2 linked regions of the Oryza sativa Japonica Group genome follow. The protein of the gene in region 2 binds, or shares a complex with, the protein of the main gene of each other region. Links are inferred from orthologs where the notes say so. Each region holds a gene or a part of one and is shown on either strand. Other genes may lie near its edges. The genes, in order: eukaryotic translation initiation factor 3 subunit K and eukaryotic translation initiation factor 3 subunit A.

Region 1 (11,640 bases), on a different chromosome or scaffold from region 2:
CCAAAATACCGGCAAAAACATCTTCAATTTTTATAATAGTAGAGATATATGCCACTCAAGCTTGCTGTACATTTGTTTTGTTCCAACCCAGATTTTACATTTTTCAAATGTAATCTATCGACGCGTTCTTTCTGCCATCAGGCATTTACTCTGTACATTTATTGATATTGAAACTTTTCCTCCTTAGCAGGGAAGAGATGACACAGATCTGTCACGCTCAAGCAGCCAAATGTCAGACATCCGTGACTACTCTGACCGCTTCACGCATTGGGTGGATGGCGGAGGCATGCTTTGCTACTAGAGCTATAAAATTGTCTTGGTGACATCTCAGCAAAAGGATTCAACAGCAGAAGCTATCGCAGCTACATTAAAGGAAACACTCGAAGTCAAGCTACATCTGCTGCAAACTGCAACGGTCTCGTGATCGAAGAGATCATCACAACAAATGGAAGAAACATCAACTTGGTTTGCCCAGAGAAAGTGCTCAAAGATGACAATCCATTGGGGAATATGAAACCATTCTGACTCGGTTCGGTTGAGGTACACGATTGAATTTCTATGGTGAAGAAGAATTGACCATACTGAAGACAATAAATAGGAGAAACATATATCACATTCTTTGCAAGGGTTAGCTTAGTTAGAATCTTTGGCAATATGTTATAGGAAAAGGATAAAACAGAAAAAAGAACTTCTCAAACAAAAATGAAAAAAAAATGGAAATGCTAATCCCTGTTGTAAATATGTTATAGTATTATACATATTTACCAATTTTTACTTTACTTGCTCTCTGTATGGAACTTGCCTTTTCAGTCTTCACTGTACAAAATACACTAATCGTTGGCAACACGGTAATGATTGCGAGACAATCTAACAGGCCACACGGTACAGGAGGAAATGAGTTGTCAAGCCAATGTTTCAGTCAGCCTGGTTGTGTGTTTTTTTTTTTCCTTTCCAGAGATGTATGAAATTGCACCTGATGCATGAACTAATTTTCTTCTGGGGTCCTGCTGATTCATGTTACCAGTATTGTCTTGCATGAACCCTGAACTCCATGATGAATGGGAGTGCTGTTGCAACATGATGGGAAATTACTATATTAACGAATCAAGATACAGGTTTGTGCAACTGCTGCAATACTTTGGTTGTATCTTTTGATTTTTAGGAAAATCGTTTGGTCGCTAGGGCCCCTTTAATTTGAAAGAGAAACATAATTTAAACTTTTTTATCCATTGAGCGACAGCCTTTCCACTCAGCATCGTCGGATCACCAAGGCCGACTTTCGTCTTTGCTCGACAGATGAGTCTTGCAGTCAAGCTCCTTTCTGCCTTTGTACTTGAGGACCAATGTCCATTAGCCCAAGGAAACCTTTGCACGCCTTGAGTTTATATGATTTTGAACCAATAGAAATACACCCCCCCCCCCCAAAAAAAATTGCTCTTTCCTAGGATTTTTCAGGTTTTGAAATGCATGGTAAATCTGTTTTACACGTACATCAGTAGAGTAGAGCCCTTAGAACTAAGTTTCAGTGAGGCAGCACGTCTGTTTAGGTGGAGATTAGAAGGGATAAAATGCATTCACGTCTTGGGAAATTGTTTTTGTTTCCGCACAACATTTCTCAAACTGTACAAGTACCAGATTTGAATAACAAACTGAGCGTATAGAACCATGCCATTGCACCGAGGAAAAGATTGATATAAACGCTACAGAATAAACTTAGGACAAAAGTAGAAAGCTTAACATATACCACACATCTTGCCGAGCTCACCCTCACAGCATTGTTGTTCGAAATAGGGACGGACAAACAACACAGGTTCAGCTAGAAATTCCTAAAAACAGTTGAGTTCATGGTGTAGCTATAGATGATCACATTGGATTTTGGGTGTTCATTCATGCCTCGGGAAATATTTAACTTAAGCTGCGGAAGACATCTCAAAGTGATTGCCTAGCCTAATCCCAGCCTTGAGCAGCTGGTTGAGCTGCCGGGTCCCATCCAGTAGGCGCAACCGGTGGAACGACGGCGGCTTCAGTGGCTACGGGTGCTCCTGCTTGATCCCATCCTTCGGCAGCAGCAACTGGAGCTGCCACAGAAAGGGAGAATGATCAGTTCCAAGTTAGTACAAGCGCTTAAGGCATGTAAATTTTACAGCCTATGCAGGAAAACGAAGAGACAATTGCTAACAGTATGAGCAGCAATCAGCACAACAGTTTTTTTCAAGAATATTCCAATGATATGAAATTTTTAGCATCACAAGAACAAAATTCAGAGGTCCACAACAGTTATATACCTGGTTAAAAATATAAATATATTAGAAGGGGATAAACCACAAACCTGGAGCTGCGCCCCAATCACCAACAGTAGCAGCTGGGGGAGCAGCCACATCAGAGGTCCACTGGTCAGCAGACCATTGTTCAGGTGCGGTGTAATCAGTGATGGCAGCAAAGTCTTGTGCTGGAGCTTCCTCCTCCTGCTCCTTGGCCTCCTCAGGGTCTCTGTAGAAAAACAGATCAACCTGCAAAAGACATACTCAGTGTATAAGCATACAAAGGATATGAAATTATCTTCATGAATGCACTTCCAATGTCAACGTGTTCTTGAAGTAATAACACCGCATACCATAACATCCCACTTGTGGCCAGGGAGGATAGTACCCCTCATCTGCAGAACCATCCTAGCCAAGAGCCAGAACAGGCACCCAATGCTGTTCCTCCCCTTGTTGTTGGCCGGGATGCCGATATCGACATACCGCATTGGGGAATCGGTGTCACAGAAGGCAATGGTCGGGATGTTTCCCAGAGCAGACTCCTTGATTGGCTGCAGACATAATTCAGGATAACACGATCAGTAAACAATACTGTACCCAATTCACCAACGCACTACCGTGACATGGTGATCATTTTCACCTGGTGATCGGTCCTTGGGTCAGTGAGGATGAGCAGACGGGGCTCGCTGAAGGAGGTCTGGAGCTGATTGGTAAATGTACCAGGCGTATGCCTTCCAGCAATGGCGTGCGCGCCAGTGTACTGCGCGAACTTGAGGACGGCGCGCTGGCCGTAGGGGCGGGCCGACTGGACAATGATGTCCTGGGGGTTCTCAATGGCAACAATCACCCTCGCCGCGAGCTGCAGCTTCTCCCATGTCTTGCCGAGGTTGATGATGTAGATACCTATGAATTGCAGCAACGATGTTCACGTATTCATATTCAAGATACCCTCCCAAAAGAACAGCAGCATACCTTGCAACAGGTTGCAATGCAACTATGCCACACACGATATGACACGAAATCAGATCAAGTTGAGCACCATGCCGTAATAATTCTAGCTCACAACAAGTTGGATACTTAGCTAAAGCTAGGATACTAACAAAGCATGAACAAAGGCGAGCACTATGATACAAGTGCACAATCCACACCAATCCAACCTAGGAAATCTAGTGGCAAGAACATGGTAAACCTATCCTACGTAGGAAATCTCATGGCAAGAACATTGTAATGGCTAGCTGTGAGCATCGACGAACAAGCAGAGCCGGGTGAGATGCCTGTAGGTGGGGGTGGGTGCATGCGTACCATCGGAGCGGCGCTTGTAGACGTAGCGCTCCATCTGGAAGTCGCAGTTCTTGGTGCCGAGGTGGACGTCGGCGGCGAGCATCATCTGCACGTCCTGCTCCGCCTGCGACAGCGCCCGCGCTGCGCCTCCTGCCACTGCCGCCATGGTCGCGTGTGTGGGGGTGGCGCGCGCGAAGGGAAGACGGGGGAGGAGGAGAGGCGAGAGCTCGGAGAGAGTGGCGGCGCGAAGGAGAAGGGAGGAGGAAGGAGAGGGGCTTTTATGTCATTATATCTCCGCCCCCCTGAAAACCCTAATTGGCGTTTAGGTGAGGCAGCGACTCTCCTTGGGCAGGGTGTGCATGGGCCGGCCCAAGTTTTTTTTCTTTTTGCAGAAAGACCCCCTGTTCATGTGAATTTACTCCTTTTTCCTCAATATGAATTTGGGCGGTTTCTTTTGCCAGCGACAACAAAAATCGATATCCAAGCTGTTTCGCTCGATGAAATGATATACATATTTGTTTTTTCTAAGAGATGCTTGTGGTAATAAGAGTTTATTATCCTGTTTTTGGAAGTCAAAACCACTCCCCACTTTTGCGGAAAACTAAACGAAAACTGGTAAAAAAATGCAACTACTACAAGCCAACTCCGTACGAAAAAATAGGCTAAAACCAATCCGTTTTTACACCGACCACATACGGGTTTTTTTTTTCACAATGAGTCCCCTACGCAACAGAACACTAGCAATCGCAAAAATCTGACAACGAGGAATGGTTGTAGTCTCGTGGTAAATGGAAGATCGAGTTGTGCCCAAAGCCGAACACGGCCGCTATGCAAAATTTTGCTCTGACCTGATAAAATATCTTGCCAACAATGTAATATCATGGCAGAATGCTTACATAAACATAACTAGGCAGATATGACGCTCGGATCGTCACTAGAATTGACTTGTTTAGCTAAAACAGGCATATCAAAACGCAGTACATCACAGCAGAGAAAACAGATGCGCCCAGAGTATCTTCACGCGCTCAGAAGTTCTGTAATGCAAAATCTCAGTTGGTCTGGTTGTTGACTCAGCTAAGGACAGGGAATATGCGAGTTACATGCTCGAACGGAACAGTTTCAGCTGTGTTCTTCTTGAGCTCAGGGTGATTGAACTCGTTGCGTGGAAGGACAATCAGCTGAGATCGTGCACCCTTCTCGATCACCCAACCGGAGTTTGCAATATGGTGCTCCAGGAACTTGTCCAATGCAAGACCCTCAATGTTGATGGCCTGAAAAGAAAAGTAATGAGTTTCAGCCAACAAGGGACAATCCATGTGCGAGGCAACCAATAACACCTAAATGATAGCAAAATTTGGATGATGATGGTGACACTTCTGGCGTAACAAATATTTGTAGCATTAGTAATATGAAACTTAATATTACCACGAATCCTTGGTCATCTAAAGTTTAAACAAAAAGGATTGAATGAAAACTCATGCTCCCTCGAGGACTCGTGTAATAATTAATTTAAAATGACATCATTTACCTCCGCAAGAACAGGCCTAGGAACTTTCTGGTATGTCAAGGAGAGCACATGTATCGCATAGGATTGGATTGCCTGCTCAAAACCTGTAAAGGGATTAGTTAAGTAAGCCTTCACTAGTGTTTCAAAAAAAAAAAACACTTCACCATTAGGTCAAACGGAAAGAATCCATATCAATTGCCATAAGAAAGTGTCCAATATAGCAAACATTCATAAAAATAATCCATAGGTAGTTCATGTTAGATTAAAAAGAATTCCTCAGTAGTCAGTAGAAAGAATCAAACAGAAGTTCGCTCAAGACTGCTTGATATGGTAACCAATCTCTGGGCATCTAGGATACTAATACATACTCATTTACATGACAACGCGGGCATGAACATGCCACATAAACACATGGTAAACGTCTAAACGATGATAAGTCACAAAGTTACTTTCTAAAATATGAGTTGTGCGAGAAAATGCTGAAATAAAGTAATCAGAAAAGGTACAGTTTATCAGTCACACCCAATTGGCCAAATCAATCAGGAAAATGGAGGGGGAAATACCAGTACAATCATCTAGCTTGCAACAATTACCACTTCACAACGTGTGAACAAAACATGGCTCCAATTCCACAAGACATACCTGGAACAACATCCAATATGTTGCGGTTCTTCGACGCCTCATCCCAAAATTGACGGAACCTAGCAGTCTACAAAGACGTTGATTGCGGTTAACAGTGGTTATCCCACTAACTGTTCAACATATATACAATAGTCAAGCCAGATACATACCTCCAGGTAGTGAGAGAGAACTATCAACGTCTTGAACTGTTCCTCCATTTGCTGAAATAAGAAGAGCATAGAGGACAGTGGTCAAAACTCACATGATAAGAGAACAGAGCCCAACAAATAAAAGAACTAGATGTACAGCTATAATAAACACAATGTATAAAGTATTCGGGTCTGTTATATCTACATATCTAAGACTAAATGGGCAAAGATTGTTCCCTTGCACAAATATTTAAATTCCAAATCCATGGTGAATATGATTTTATTCCATCAACTACATGTTATTATATATATACATTGCACATCTCTAGGCATACATATATGATAATGTTATTTCAGGGTCAATTTGGCAATCACCACCAAAACAAATAGATCACTGGGTATCGATACTATTTAAGATGCATCCGCAATAGCATTTTATTAGATAGATAGTTTTTGATGCGACATATACATGAGGCAGGGAATTGTTTCCGTACCACATGCTCTGGAATTAAGAATAAGCATAGGCTGAAGTCCGGGCCTGGCATTGCCATGAGAGCCTGTCAATAGAACAACATAAAGAGAGCAAAACAGTTGGAAGTGATCAACAAAAAACCATTGTTTATTTATTAATGTTAACATTAGTTCTTTTCTGACCTTAATCAATATGCGAGATACAATCTGCACACTCAACCTTTCTGGTTCGAACTGCAAAGGGAAACGCATCATTAAATAAACATATAACTCGAGCCAAAATATGGGTAAAAGCGGTTTGTACAGAGATGGACTGTCACCTGGTACAGACGAAGAAGACTAAGATTTGCATCCAAGTTATATGTTTGGTTGGAAACCTATATGAAAAGAAAAGGTCGGTAAATTTGAAAGCATTAGAACCAAAAACTTATGCTGGAATAAAACAGATGAGCTACAAAAGATGCATGCACATACTCACAATAGCTAGAGCACAAAAAAAAAGGTCTGTTGAGTTTGTTTCTTTATATGCTGGAATAAAACAGATGAGCTACAAAAGATGCATGCACATACTCACAATAGCTAGAGCACAAAAAAAAGGTCTGTTGAGTTTGTTTCTTTATAAATCGTAAGCCAAACAGCATGTCAAATATTGATATGAATGTGTGTCATCTGACCGAAATCTCCATCTTGCCACTTTCATGACCAACGACAACAGATATTATCAATTGAAAATCCATCAGTTAGCATTGAGATGACTGACAATAAGATTTATTGATGTACCAAACAGCAACCATTCTCTTTACAAGTGCTGCCGCTTAATTCACAACTCCTCCACAACGATGTGCTCCACTACAGTCTGCCCGAAAAAAATACACAAATACTGCTATTTCTAGCTATCGCCATAGCGCATATGAATCAGGATTTTTTTTTTCATAGGAGAATTTAACGATTTGCGGACCATGTAAACATGAGAAGGCGCGAGGCTTTTTCAGCACAGCCACGGACCAATCCTTCGCAAAATTCCAACAATCACACGAACAAAATCAAACGGGGCCGCAAGTATCCCATGGCTAGGGTTTACCTGATCGTTGACGAAGCCCTCGAGGTCGTTGAGGATGTCGGGGTTGTAGGGGTTCACGGCGACGAGCTCCTCCACCGTGTAGCTCTCCGCCGCCTGCTCGCTCGCCATCTCGGGGAACCCTAACGCCCGAATGCTAGAGTAGATCTCGCGCGAAACCCTGGGAGCGGCGAGAGGAGGAGAGGAGAGAAGTGGCGGCGCGGCGGAGGGGGAGGCGATGGAGAAAAGGGTTTTCGGGTTCGTGCGAATTTTTTCGCTTTAGTCCCTCAGCTATCCTTATACTCCTACTTCGTGTGCCGCGGATGCAAAAAGATGCTGGTAGAAATGCGCATGTGCCCTTCCAAGGTTTGGTTATTTCATGGACACCCCTGCTAATAACCAAAGGTGTGGCATAAGCAACAACTAGAATTGCTAATCCTAACAAAGGTGGTGTTCTTTTCTTTTAAAGATGAAGATAAAGATAGTATTAAGTGTTTTATGTAAAACGAGATGGTATTGAGGTGTTATTAGTTAAGTTTTAATCAATACAAACTTGATGAAAAATAGATTAATTTGATATTTGAGAGCAACTTTCATATAGAAAGTTTTCGTACGAAACACACCATTTAGCAGTTGAAAAGCGTGCAGCGTGTATCAAAAATTTTATCGAACTTTTGTTGGAGAAAAGAACAAGGCCTTGCCACTTTTGAAAAAAAAAATTGAAATAGGAGCCTTTAGAAAAAAGTGGATCCATTTTATTCATTCCATGATACCAATCTATTAAAAGTACCATGAGTTCATGACGACGATTTATTTTTGGTAGGAACCATGATATTGATACTAGTAAATACGCTCGAGCAATCACATACGATTGATGTGATGACACGAATTATATTTCGTCTTTTTTACATGCGGGACAATTATACAGATGATGAACATCCTTACGATCCTATCACCTACTTCCTCCGTTTCATATTATAATAATTTCTAGCATTACCCGCATTTAAATATATGTTAATGAATCAATACATATATATACGTGCCTAGATTCATTAACATATACTCCCTCCATCCATAATATAGAAACCTATAACTAGATGGGACACTTCATAGTATAATGAATATGGACAGGAAGCATGTCCATATTCGTTGTACTATAAAGTGTCACATCCGGTATTAGGTTGTTATATTATAAGACGGAGGGAGTATATGAATGTGGGTAATGCTAGAAAGCCTTATAACCTGAAACAGAGGTAGTACGTAATTATTAAATCTATCACAATTGATAATAACATGACCTTAATTTGCTCATGTTTGAAATTTTGTTCCCATGACAAACCATCTGATGAAGAGCTGAAAACCAAAATTTAGTTGCTACTATTATTTATTTCTATATTTTACACACCAATCTAAAATACTATTGTTCCTCACAAAATTAAAGCTTGCAAAGTCACAAGGATACAAGATCCACACACACAATCCCACAAACTTTACACAGGCACTTTGCAGGCTTGCAGCACAACGCCCAGTTGCAGCTCAAAAGCAAGCAAGGCAAACGGACGTCTGGCCCACATGTCAGCCTCACAGTGAAGGTGAAACACCATATGGCATAGTGCAGAGTTCAGACTTCAGACAAGCTCAAACATTCAGAGTTCAGTTCAGCAAGATCGTCAGTCGAGCAGAAGAGAGGCCTGCCTGACCAGGTGGCCTCTGCGCTCGAACACCTGCCTCCTGCGCCTCTCGAGGTCCCTCTCCACGGCGGCGATCTCCTCCATCTCGCGGTCGCATTCGGCGATCATCGCCGCATACTGCAGCTGCAGCGCCATGGACAGGGGCACCATGTTTCTGCTGCTGCTCGCGTCCTCCTCCATGAGCTCAGGTGTGGCGCTCGCCATCTGTTCGTCGCGAGGACACTGCTTGATCTTGCACTTTGCCGCGCTCAGTGCTTCTTGATCTGCGACGGCAACAAGCCAACAACGCCAATACATTAGTAAATCTACTTGATTCTTCGAAATTTGTTGGTTTGGTTTGATCGAGTTCGCTCATTTTATCAACCTTGATCATCATTCATCAGTGAGAATATTGGAATCCTTTCTTTCTTTCGCAAAAATCGAGCTCAACCGTATGATATGATGCGAACAGGGCAATGCTCCATGCTACGAGCCTACGAGCCAAGTTTCTCCGCCAGCACACATGCAAATTCAAATTCAACTTCTACTCCCGCAACGAAAAAAATAAAAACGAAAAAAAAATAAATTAAACTATAACTAGTTAACGTATATTCACAATTAAATTGTTTTATTTTATTTTGAGATGTAGGAGTTAATTTTAAACATGCATATTTACAAAGTGATATATCACGTATTAATACATCTTGAGATATCCTCCGAGGTGGTAGTACCTGCATAGGCTGCTGCACGGCCAGCACTGCCTGCGTCTGCGTCTGCGGCGTCGACGGCCATGGCGTCGTCGTCGTCACCGGAGACGGCCGCCGCGGGGAGGTTGAGGTCGATGGTCCAGCAGGGCCGGTCGTTACTCCGGCGAGGGGAGCCATCGCCGTCGCGGGGGAAGTTGAGCCTCGCGCCCTTGCCGCGGATGCGGCGGGCCTCGCGGTCGTAGGCCATGGCGGCCTCCTCGGCGCTGCCGTACGTGCCGAGCCACACGCGCCGCCCCTTCTTGGGGTCCCTGATCTCCGCCGCGAACCTCCCCGACGGCCGGCGCCGGACGCCCCTGTACTTGCTCTTCTTGCTCGCCTTCCGACGACCGGCCGCCGCCGCCGCCACGCGCCGCCGCGGCCTGGAGCTCGAGGAGACATCCGACGAAACTGCCGCCGGCGATCGATGAAATCAACAGCAGGAGAAGAAATCGTGTAAAGTTCAGGTTGCCGTCAGGTGAAAATCCTTCAAGAAAGCAGGCAAGATTTCTCCATCTCATCGTACAAGAAAACGAAGGTACTGCCTTCGACTTGGGGGACGACACACATGACACGGCCAAACTCTCGTCGCCATCGTCGGAAAGCTCGAACTCATCGTCGTCGTCGTCGTCCTCGAAAAGCTCGAACTCCGCCTCGAAGTCGACGTCGGACTTGCGCTTCCGGGTGGTTCTCCTCTCGGCGGCGGGGGGAGTCGGGGTCACCGGCAGGAGCTCGGCGGCGGTCAGCCGCCGGGGCACCCTCGCCGGGGTGAAATCGGCGAGGATTGCACCGCCGCACATGGCGCGGCGCGCTCTTCTTTCTCCGGGAGAGACGTCGCTATGGCGCGACGCGGGAGAGTGGTAAATAGAGGAAAAGTCGTCGTCGTCGGCGTCGCCGTCGCTGGCTGATGTGGGGATGGGCTGTCTAGTCTCCGTGGGCCGCTATCTCCCGATCTTGTGGGCGCCGAAGTCTGTGGGCTGCCTCGTTGTCAATTCGTCTCCTTAAAAAAATTGTGGCAAAAGTTGGTTGCAGGTTAAATTGATTGGATATTCGATGTTGTGAACTTTACTGGGATAAGGACATAGACTTTATTGGGAAAAAAAGGATAGGGTAATATTGTACACTAGCATCCATACTTCTCACCTCATTTAATTATAGCCATTCATCTATTTCCCTTTAACAATCACACCTCTCATAACTCATTTGCCAAACACACCTATAAGGTTCAGTAGATGTGGAGATTTTCTGGGATTAAGGGTTCAACAAATACAATAGCATGCTATAAACTACTCCATCTGTCCCATTTTAAATGTAATTGTGGGTTTATGCGCGCAACGTTTTATCATCCGTTTTATTTGAAATATTTTTATAAACAATATTTTTATTATTATTATATGATAAAACATGAATGATACTTTATTTGTGACTTATTTTATTTAATTTTTTAAAATAAGATGGACAGTCAAACGTTAGATACAGAAACCCACACTATTCTACTGCAATTAAAATGGGACGGGGGGAGTAACTACAAGCGCATGTGAAAAGAGAGAGAGAAGAAAATCATACTAGAGTATAGATTTGTAGCCAGCTGCAGCATGGATCTTATTATGTGTTTATGAGAGATGGACCAATGGCATCCCTTTGTTCTAAATGAGCTAGTATACGGAAATTTTCCGAAGAAATAAAATCCTCCAAATTTCCTTTGAAGTGCCTTTAATCCAAAGGAGTCCTATTCAAGGAGCATTTGATGATATGAATGAATATACAACAATTGTAAATCTTAATGCTCTTAGTCTAGTCACTAACATGTGGAGCTCGCCCAAACACTGTCCAATGTCCAATGGCAAAACACACAGTGATGTCTTAATCTCTCTCTCTCT
Region 2 (10,513 bases):
CCTTCGCGAAACCTGAGAACGCGCTCAAGAGAGCGGAGGGTGAGTCCCCTTTGGATCTGTTATGTTTATTTAGGGGACCAGTTTTCACTGTTTTGTAAGCATGGAATTCGAAAAGAGCGGTGTTTGATTCCTCCCGTCATAGACAAATTAACAGACCATGGCTGGTCGTTCAATCTTACAGAAATACTTGTTGATTCGTTCGTGCTAGTTCTTAGATGTGTTCAATTATACATACTTCGGAAAACATTTTATTTTTACTGATGATGGCCCTCTGCTCTACTTCAGAGTTGATACATGTTGGGCAGAAGCAGGCAGCGCTACAGGCGTTACATGATCTCATCACTTCAAAAAGATACAGGTCATGGCAAAAGCCACTCGAAAGGATTATGATGAAGTATGTGGAGCTCTGTGTAGACCTGAGGAAGGGCAGGTTTGCGAAAGATGGCCTTATTCAGTACAGGATTGTCTGCCAGCAAGTGAATGTGTCATCCTTGGAGGAGGTGATAAAACACTTCATGCAGCTTTCCAATGAGAAAGCAGAGCAAGCAAGGAACCAGGCGCAAGCACTGGAAGATGCCCTGGATGTAGAAGATCTGGAAGCAGACAAGCGGCCTGAGGATTTGATGCTCAGCTATGTCAGCGGGGAGAAAGGGAAGGACCGATCAGACAGAGAGCATGTCACACCATGGTTCAAGTTTCTCTGGGAAACATACAGAACAGTTCTTGAGATATTGAGAAACAATTCAAAGCTTGAAGCATTATATGCTGTAAGCTATTCTATCTGTGTTCCCCTTATTCCTGTATACATACTCTTCACACATGACATGGCATTTCATCTGGCTGTTCCATTTTGTGTACACAATCAATGATCTTAATCGTGATTGCCTCGATGCTGCGCTTCTGCCCGTCTAGTGTCTTCAAAACAATAATGTGAATAAACACACCTAATTCACCGCTCTACTGCCATACCACCAATTGGATTTCCTTCTAGTGCTATTATAGTACTCTTGGTCATCATTGTTCAATCACATTATCATATGCTGTATTATTAGAGTTCCTACTTTAACTGCTTCATATTTTTCCTATGTCATCTAATAAAATAGTTGTACACTATGTCATTATCACATTATTATGGCTTAATTTGGTAATGGTGCCAGAAGTTTAACATGATGATTCAATTACCATAATTGCATTCTCTCTGCACTATGTCTGTTTATATTTATGCAGATCTCTGTGTAATTGCCAATTTGGTTTAGGCAGATTTTACTCCTGTTTTTTTCCAGAACCTTAAATAAATTTCTGAATTGTGAAATTGATTTCCTGCACATAGTCTTCTGTACCAAGTACTTTTGCATTTGCCAATGCATCTAAACCCTTTTTAATCTCTCATTTTGCAGATGACTGCTCACAAGGCTTTTCAATTTTGTAAGCAGTATAAGAGAACGACTGAATTCCGTAGGTTGTGCGAGATAATAAGAAATCATCTTGCTAACTTGAACAAATACCGTGACCAGCGAGATCGTCCTGATCTGACTGCCCCAGAAAGCTTACAGCTATACCTGGACACTAGAGTTGAACAACTAAAAATTGCTACAGAGCTCTCTCTCTGGCAGGTCCGTTCCTTATATTTTTTAACCTTTTTTATGCCAAGTGAATCATCTTTGCTGTATGATCGTAAAGCTTTGCTTCTTGCAGGAGGCCTTTAGGTCTGTGGAAGACATCCATGGCTTGATGAGCATGGTGAAGAAAACACCAAAACCATCTGTCCTGGTTGTGTATTATGCCAAGTTGACTGAAATATTCTGGATATCTGATTGCCACTTGTATCATGCATATGCATGGCTTAAGCTATTCTACTTGCAGAAAAGCTACAATAAGAACTTGTCTCAGAAGGACCTTCAATTAATAGCTTCTTCTGTTTTGCTTGCTGCACTTGCCGTGTCACCATATGACCATAAATATGGCGCATCTCATCTTGAGCTTGAAAATGAGAAAGATCGTAATCTGCGGATAGCTAATCTCGTCAACTTCTCCCTTGACTCCAAGCGTGAGAATAGAGAAGTGGTTAGCCCTCCAGATCTTTTTCAAAGCAAAGAATATTTTGAATAATTTTATTTATTATCTTCCTGACATATCTCCTGTCACCATTGCAGCCATCAAGAGCATCTCTTTTTTCTGAGCTGGTATGTGCTGAATCCTGGGTCCTTTTATTTATCAAACTATTCTGTTGAGTTTTGCACTCTCGTCAGTTGTCGATGGGATAGCTGACATGGATAGTTCATTCAATTCTTTTTGTCAGTATTATAGGGTTGGTAGGGTTGTATCCAGTAATTTGTACTCCATTTATCATGCATAATTGAATTTCTCTTCTTGTGCTTGCTTGACTTGATATTTATAAATTTAGGCTGCCAAAGGTGTCATTGCCTGTGCTTCACAAGATGTCAAAGATTTATACAACCTTTTGGAACACGATTTTCTTCCTCTGGATCTCGTATCCAAAGCACAGCCACTGCTATCTAAGATTTCAAAGATTGGAGGGAAGCTTTCATCAGCTCCCTTGGTTCCAGAAGTTTTTCTGTCACAGTACCTTCCTGCTTTGGAGAAGTTAACAACTTTAAGGGTGTTGCAACAGGTATGTTCAATGGCACACTGTACAGGAAGTATAAGTTCTCTTTTCTCATGATCTTTTACGTTATTCTTTGGTTAACACGTGGTTTATGCACCCTTTTGTTCTTTTTCAGGCTTCCCAGATATTTCAGTCTGTGAAAATTGATATGCTCTCAAGAATGATCCCATTCTTTGACTTTTCTGTTGTTGAGAAGATCTCTGTTGATGCCGTGAAACACAATTTTGTTGCTATGAAAGTCAACCATTTATCAGGAGCTGTCCATTTTGGGAAAATGGTATGTGGTTTAGTTCCTCAAGTCTGTTGGCCACTTTAGCCTTCTCAGTGTTCTTATTGGTGGAATTTACTTTTTTATTGTTTTATTTCCCTGTAAGCATCAGTATAGAAGTTGGTTGTTCTGTTCATTGTGGTATGCATATTTATCCTCGCCAAATTATTTCCTCTAAAGTTGAAATATTCATAGAGACCATAGTTTGAACTGATGGCCAAGATACAATTGGTACATGACAACCACTATTTTCATTCACTTTCGACAGCCTTTGTAGTGTAGAACAAAAATGTGTTGACTCAATTGTATATGCTGTCTTACCACTAAGACTTAGGGCATGGTTCTTTGTGCCTCTGTTACAATATTTGTGCTATGTGTTGGAACCAGCAGATCCTTGTGGCAGAGTGTTTTCCATGATAAAATATTGTCAACTTATTTTTGCCACTAACTGGTTCATGTGGCTTGTTTTTACCACTGGGTTTATGGAACTGGCATTTAGCCCTAGGTATATTTGCCAAATCGAGTGTATTGTATGTTATTTGTAATAAAAAAGAAAGTCTGAAGAAAATTCTTGCTTGATTTATTTTGCTTCAGATTTTAAACTAGGTGTCACTGTCGTAGACATTTTTGGTAATCTGGTAATTGTACATAGCTGTAACTCGCATTCTCATTCTCAACATTATATTTAACTATGTTATATTATTTTTTATTTTTTAGATTTTCAAGTGACTATGTAGTGCCTGATGTTGGTATCTTTTGGTTTTAATACGTTCTAGTTTGTTTGCTTTTAATGCCAAATATCAGACAGTACTGGTTCTTGTGCTGTCAATTTCGGGACTTCAGTTTTATTAATTATTAACCTGTGACATCAATTTTATTCTGACTGGTTTCTGTTTGTAGGACATTGAATCTGATTGTCTCAGTAATCACCTAAGTGTTTTGGCTGATTCTCTAAATAAAGCAAGGAGCCTTATCCATCCACCTGTGAAGAAGCCATCCAAGCTTGGTGAAAACTTAACGAGTCTTGCTGCAGTAGTGGAGAATGAGCACAAGCGTCTTCTTGCGAGGAAATCAATTATTGAAAAACGCAAAGAAGATCTTGAGCGCCAAATATTGGAAAAGGTGTCTATTTGGTACTGTTCAAAGTGGCCAACTCTGTGAATTTCTGCTTATGTCATATTCTCTCTTTTCCAGGAAAAGGAAGAAGAAAAAAAGAGATTGAGTGTTCTCAAGAAATCTGCAGAAGATGAAAGGATAAGGCTTCTCAATGATGTAAAATTGAGGGAACAGGAGAGGATCCGTCGACAATTGGTTGAAAAAGAAAAGATAGAGGCAGAAGAACTGCTTCAGAAACAGATAAAGGAGATAGCAAAGAGAGGAGGAAAAAAACCTGTCCTTCAGGGGGTGAGAATAATTAGTTTCCAATCATTATATTTTATTTATTACGCTGACTAGTTATTTGTTGATAATGTTTTTTTTTCTGTTTAATGTATTGCTCAATTTATATTTGCTCGATATTTCATTATATATTTCTTTTTGTGTAAGGCATTATATTTGTTGTGAAGACTTCTGTTTCATCAATATGCTTATTAGTTATGTCTGTTTGTTCAGTCCAATATTGATTCTTTTTTGTCTTAACTGCTCAGAAATTCTAGTGGAGTAGTAGAGGGTGTGCTAATATGCTGTTTTTTATGTTTTGTGGCTAACCATTATAGACTACAAGAACGCAGAACGCAGATGATATTTGAATCTTTATATTCTGTAGTGTCCTACTCTTGTTTCATATTAAGAATTGATTGTCTTCTCCGAAGTCGGAACTATAAAGTTGTACTATCCCAAGCCAATTACAGCTTAATATTTGTTTCTCCACACAGGCCCTTTATACTTTGAATGTTTTCATTGCAGGAAGTTACTAAGGAGGCTGTGATGGAATTGGCTATGAATGAGCAGTTTAAGGAGCGCCAAGAGATGGAGAAAAAACTACAGAAGACTGGTAAGCAAATGGATTACTTGGAGAGGGCAAAAAGGCAGGAAGAGGCACCTCTAATTGAGCAAGCTTTTCAAAAACGCCTTGAAGTAGAGAAAATCCTTCATGAGCAAGAGCAGCTGGTTTGTTTCTCACAATTCCTTGATTGTCACATTACAATAGCATATGATTACTTAAGCTCACAAAAATCACTATTAATCTCTTCTTGTAGAGAGAGATTGAGCTCAGCAAGCAACACCATGCAGGTGACCTGCAGGAGAAGAACAGACTTTCTCGAATGTTGGAGCATAAGGTAAGCAAATACATATCTGTATTCAGACCAGATATTCTTGCACTATTTCATCTTCTTTTTAGTTAATTGAAGGACCAAATGTCCCACTGTAATTAATCCTGTGTTTTTCCGAAACCATGTTTTGCAATTCCAAGCATAACAGTTGAAATACTTAGTATATTATCTGTGCAAAGGTCTGATTAGATACAGATTAATTTAACATATAATATGTGCTATACTTGCTGAGAATCTAATATTGGCATGTCTTCTTTGGCTATGTGTGTGTTCACATGATTTGAGCACTAGACATTTGAATACACCAGGCGATTTGTTCCTGTCAGGGAATAGACAGCTGTCTTCTCTCCTTCGCACATATTTTAAATTGCCCTTTTTGCTTGCAGAACATTTTCCAGGAAAGAATTGTCCAACGTCGTGAAGCTGAGTTTAGTCGTCTTAAGAAAGAGAGGGATGAAAGGACTAGTCAATTGATATCATCAAGGAAGCGTGAAAGGGATACAGTGCGGAAGTTAATGTACTATCTTAACTTAGAAGAGCAGCGCCTCCAAAGGCTCCGTGAGGAAGAGGAAGCTAGAAAACGTGAAGGCAAGAATTCATGACTTTGTGCTTTGAAATACTTGTTCTTATCTTACCTTATTAGATTAGATTAATTTACACTGCCATATATCGTCCAGCTAATTTTGGAATTTCTTGAGAATTAGTGAACATTGCTTGTTGAATTACTGTGACTTTACTGCAGTATGGACCTGTGTTACTTAGGGCCTGTCACTTTGATGCCAAAAAAAACCTTACCAAATTTTGGCATAGCCAAAATTTCGGCAACTTGCCAAAATTTTAGCAGGATTTCTTATATAGTTACCAAAATTTGGCAACAAACTAAATGTAGCCACTTTTCTTGCAACTTTAACAAAATTTGGTAAGATTGAAAATGGCATCAAAGTGAACAAGCCCTTAGACAATGGATAGCTTTAAAACTTAAAATGTTATTTGGCATCAAAGTGTGATTTGCTTGTGCATAATTATCTTGCGGATCTTTTTTTTTTTGCCTGATGCAATGAAATCAAATTCTAGCTTATACATATTGTTGATAATGATTTCACCTTCTCTGCAGAGGAAGAGAGGAGAAAGAGGGAAGAGACTGAGAGGAAGGCTAAGCTGGATGCAATTGCAGCCAAGCAGCTGCAGAGAGAGAGGGAACTAGAAGAGAAGAAGGAAAAACAGAGAATGGAAGCTCTCATGGGAAGAGGAGCTGGAGCTGCTGAGCCTGCACGCACTCCTGATGCTGCTCCGGTTGCACAGCCAGCTCAGCCGGTAGCTGCACCGGCTGCTGCTGCTGCCGCTGCTGCACCAGCTGCTGGTAAGTATGTCCCGAAGTTTAAACGAGGTGGTGATGGTGGCAGTAGTGCTGGCGGCCAGAGACCTGCTGTGGCACCTGAGCAAGACCGTTGGGGTTCACGGGATGATCGCCCACGTCCTGATATGCGTCCGCTCCGCCAAGAGGCACCCCCTGCTCGCGATGCTGCTCCCCCAGCCCGCCAAGATGGTCCTCCAGGCACATGGCGACCTTCAAGATACTCAAGTTCATCATCTTCCTCAACCTGGAGCAGCAGGCGCAACTGAAGCCGTCTGCTTTCAGATGTGGACTGCTAGGGTGAGATTTTTTGCTGTCCAGGGCCATTGCTGAGATAAGCCTGTGAAACATGGTTGAATGTTTGACTGTTTGCGCATCAAATGCTCGTAAAATTTTGGAGTTAGGACCTGCTTCAGGGCAATAGCACCTTTCCTAAGTTATGTCAAATGTTATTTCGTTGTTGCAGTTACTCCATTGCACACTGGATTGCTACTCGTTAAGTTTGTCCAAACTTTGGCGCTGTTAGTAATACTGGAATATTGCCCTTGTCTTTGTGTCTTTGTTCGTTTGGTCGTTGCTACAAGTACATCGCATTTCTTTTGATTATCATCAAACTAATATGACTTGTTGATCTTGATTAACACCAAACTCGGATGAAGCTTTGACGAAGAGTTGGCGGAAACATGAATCATGGTGGTGTACCCCAAGCAGGAACGCACTGCTAGCAGTTGGTAGTTTGATGCACTGGGATTTCGGAGCTCGATTTGCACCGGAAATACAACCTTACCTATCCGCGGTCTCCTACGTTGCTCAAGTAAAGCATTAACGTTCTCCAATGTTGCTCAAGTAAAACATTAACCTTGCATAGAAGTATGAGACTGCCAATCTGTTTGACCTTGCATAGAAGTATGGATGGCAATGAACTGAACTGTACAACATGAAATGCCATCCCTCTACATCATGCCAAAATTCGATGAGTGTTGTCATTTTTGGCATCCCATTGGCTTTGCCCAGTAAATCCATCTGGTAATCAGAAACTCGGAATGGAGTTGGGAGGCAGGATGCGTTCGCTTGTCTCCTTTTATCGCACGTTCTCGATCCAACGGTTCCTGTGAATACCAACATTCTACCACCCCAGTTTCAAATTTTTTTTTTCGAAAGAAAACGAAAAGTGAAAAAAAAAAGAAAGGCGTCGGCAACTTGAGTTGGGCAAAGAGCAAGGTTCCACACGCTGTCACTGCCGTGTGGGCCATCCCCCCCCCCACGCCACGCGCTCTGCTCTTTCTTTATCTAGTCGGTAGGCTCGGTCCACTCCGCCTCTCTCTCTCTCTCTCTTCCTCCTCCGCGCGCCGCCTTACCCCTCTCCTCCTTCCTCGACGCGGCGGCTGCTCCAGATCTTCTCTTCCCCTCGCGGCGGCGTCTCCCGTCCAATCCAGTGAGTTCTCCTCTCCCCCCCCCCCCTCCTCTGCACCGCTTGCTGCATCCATCCACTTCTCTCCTCCCCAACTTTTTTTTTGAATTTTTTTTCTTACTAGATAGATTCGTGGTGAGGGCTTAGATCGCGTGGTGCGGATTGCTCAGGCTCCGGATCTGTACGTATAGACGCGCGAGCCGCGGGAGATTCTGAGTGGGTGGCTAGGTTTTTGTGCTGTGCGTCTAGGGTTTGGGCGCGGTTCGTCCTTGTTCTAGGGTTCCCTCGCAATTCAGATCTGACTCGTCGCTGGAATCTTCGTGGGGCTTCGGTTTTTCAAATTCCGTCGCCTCACCGTTGCCGCGAACACCCCCCCGCTAGGGATGGGAATTGGGCCCAGACTACCTGTGGGCTATGGCTATGCCCCGATATGCTTTTTTGTGCATATATATTCCCATCGAGATCAGGGGGCGACTCGAGAAGTTGCTTGCTGAAAGCTACGTCATATCCGCTACGAATTCACACATTTTCTCTTGTTGTTTCAGGTGAACTATCGGCTCAGTAAAAGGGGAAAAAGGAGGGATCTTTTCTGGACATTTGAAGCTTACGGACGACAAGGTAAGAAAGTGTATATAATTCACATTATGCGCGTCTTTAGTTAACAACAACTCTGCTACCAAGCTGTTTCTACCATCCGTGTTCGTGTAAGGAGTTGTACCCTATACATGTCTCTGGAATTCAAAATTACATCCATCTTTAAACTGGCGCCATATCCAATTCTTTTTTTTTTCTTGGATACATATTAACACCATCTGTGTTGACTGTCTGTAGTCTTTTCTCATCATTTTGGATAAATATTACACCAAAGTCTCTTGTTTATATAGCTATATGAACTCAGAAAGCTGAGAAGCTGCAAGTCTGCTGCTACTAGCAACATGATTTAGATGCTTAGTGGAAGTTTGCTCAAATATTTGAACCGCATAAGCTTGCTTTGCTTTTTACGTGAAGCCTAAACAAGACATTCTATTCTTCTATAGTTGTATTTTGGGGGGATCGATTTCATGTATGCCTGATTTCCAATGTATTTGGATGTCAGTTTTGCCTAGGTTTATTTTATCTATTTTGGGTTCAGCTTATATTTTTGCTGTCTGTTATCATGCTATATTATTCTAGATATTTCAAAAACTAACAGTGATTTTGTCTCTTCTATGAGATGCACCTCCTTGCATCATTTCACGGCCCTACAGGTTTTAAGTCTGTAGCTGATCTGTCGGGATGGACTCCAAGAAGTTCCTACAGCTGCTTGAAGAGAAAAAGAAGAGAATCCTTGAGAAGAAAGAAGCCCCACTGAAATGGGAGCAAAAGCTCGAAGCAGCAGCGAAGGCAAAAGCTGATGCTGAAGCAAAGGAAAAGAAGCTTAAGTCAAGAAAGCACAGAAGGAGGGGCCATTCTTCCTCAGACTCTGAAAGTGATTCCGACAGTGATGGTGATCGGAAGCACAGGAAGAGGAAGGACCGCAAAAGGCACAGGAAACACGGTCACTCTGATTCCGATGAAGCCAAGAGGCACAAGCGCAGATCAAAGAGGAGAAGCTCAGACTCAAGCGATGATACTGATAGTGATGAATATGATAGTGGGTCTGAAGAAGAAAATCGAAGGAAGAAGCGCTCACACAGGAGAAAGCATCGCCGACATTCATCAAGGTCTGATTCTGATGCTTCAGACTATAGCAGCGATGATGAAGAGAGGAGATCTTCCAAGAAGGACCATTCCAGTTCCAGGAGTCACAGGCACCACCACCACCGATCATCTGGTGATGACTCAGGGTCTGAGTCTGAGGAGAGGGGCAGGTCAAGACATAAGAAACATCATAGATCAAGCGATGAGGATGCAACATCAGATTCCAACAACCATAAGCACCGTAGGAGTCGCTCCCTGGAGGAGTCATCCGATGATGCAGCTGCCGGTGAATATGAAAAGGTGAGAAATGGTAAAAGGCCTCACAAGACCGGACACCATCGTCACCACCACCGCCACCACCATCACCATCATGATCACCGTAGCTCTTCTGAACCTAATGACAAGAAGCGGCAAGATGGCCAGAAAGCCCTTGAAGGTGGCAACGTTGATTAAACTCCAGCGGCACTAGTTGAATTGGTTTTTGGCGCGTGAAAAGAATTTTAGTTGTCTTATCTTTTATGTTGGTCACTCTTTATTCCAACGTTGTGGATTCTGACGTTGTACTGATACAAAGTCGGTTCGGTGATTGTGACTTTTATGTCTCGTCGTTTCTTCGTTTCATCTGTGTTGGCTAATTTGAACTTCAGTCGGTGGTTCGAATTGTTCTATTGACTGCTCAAAAAATGAGAACTAAAGATGCTTTCTGCTTAGTACTGGCACAGTTGTGCTATGTTTTACCGTTGTGATGCTGAATTGTAGAAATCAACTCGAATGACTGCTACAGGTACTGGGTTATCGGCTAGTACATTAGTAAATGTCAATGCATGAAAATTTTCATGCATGCTTTACGTCCGCTTTTGTTGCATGCATATAAATTTATGTATGATCGAAAAGAACATTA

The links.
Region 1: eukaryotic translation initiation factor 3 subunit A (region 2) and eukaryotic translation initiation factor 3 subunit K share a complex: the UniProt entries of both Arabidopsis thaliana proteins name them as parts of the eukaryotic translation initiation factor 3 (eIF-3) complex. The link is inferred for Oryza sativa Japonica Group from reciprocal best matches to the Arabidopsis thaliana genes EIF3A and EIF3K.

What each region holds. Positions count from the first base shown.
Region 1 is NC_089037.1:4,345,755-4,357,394, forward strand, and holds eukaryotic translation initiation factor 3 subunit K, read right to left. Parts: upstream 7,614-11,640; 5' UTR 7,480-7,613; coding exon 7,372-7,479; intron 6,668-7,371; coding exon 6,611-6,667; intron 6,525-6,610; coding exon 6,474-6,524; intron 6,377-6,473; coding exon 6,314-6,376; intron 5,892-6,313; coding exon 5,841-5,891; intron 5,759-5,840; coding exon 5,692-5,758; intron 5,154-5,691; coding exon 5,071-5,153; intron 4,814-5,070; coding exon 4,613-4,813; 3' UTR 4,348-4,612; downstream 1-4,347. Other genes in the region: phosphoinositide phosphatase SAC2, read left to right, coding at 188-301; 40S ribosomal protein SA, read right to left, coding at 1,948-2,078, 2,330-2,510, 2,615-2,812, 2,902-3,164, 3,564-3,708; ethylene-responsive transcription factor RAP2-12, read right to left, coding at 9,018-9,301, 9,749-10,171, 10,287-10,560. UniProt on the Arabidopsis thaliana protein: Component of the eukaryotic translation initiation factor 3 (eIF-3) complex, which is involved in protein synthesis of a specialized repertoire of mRNAs and, together with other initiation factors, stimulates binding of mRNA and methionyl-tRNAi to the 40S ribosome.
Region 2 is NC_089035.1:1,175,687-1,186,199, reverse strand, and holds the end of eukaryotic translation initiation factor 3 subunit A, read left to right. Parts: coding exon 1-39; intron 40-285; coding exon 286-767; intron 768-1,397; coding exon 1,398-1,613; intron 1,614-1,695; coding exon 1,696-2,064; intron 2,065-2,153; coding exon 2,154-2,183; intron 2,184-2,404; coding exon 2,405-2,632; intron 2,633-2,741; coding exon 2,742-2,903; intron 2,904-3,794; coding exon 3,795-4,016; intron 4,017-4,088; coding exon 4,089-4,298; intron 4,299-4,799; coding exon 4,800-5,003; intron 5,004-5,092; coding exon 5,093-5,173; intron 5,174-5,553; coding exon 5,554-5,755; intron 5,756-6,281; coding exon 6,282-6,790; 3' UTR 6,791-7,073; downstream 7,074-10,513. Other genes in the region: uncharacterized protein, read left to right, coding at 9,208-10,065. UniProt on the Arabidopsis thaliana protein: RNA-binding component of the eukaryotic translation initiation factor 3 (eIF-3) complex, which is involved in protein synthesis of a specialized repertoire of mRNAs and, together with other initiation factors, stimulates binding of mRNA and methionyl-tRNAi to the 40S ribosome.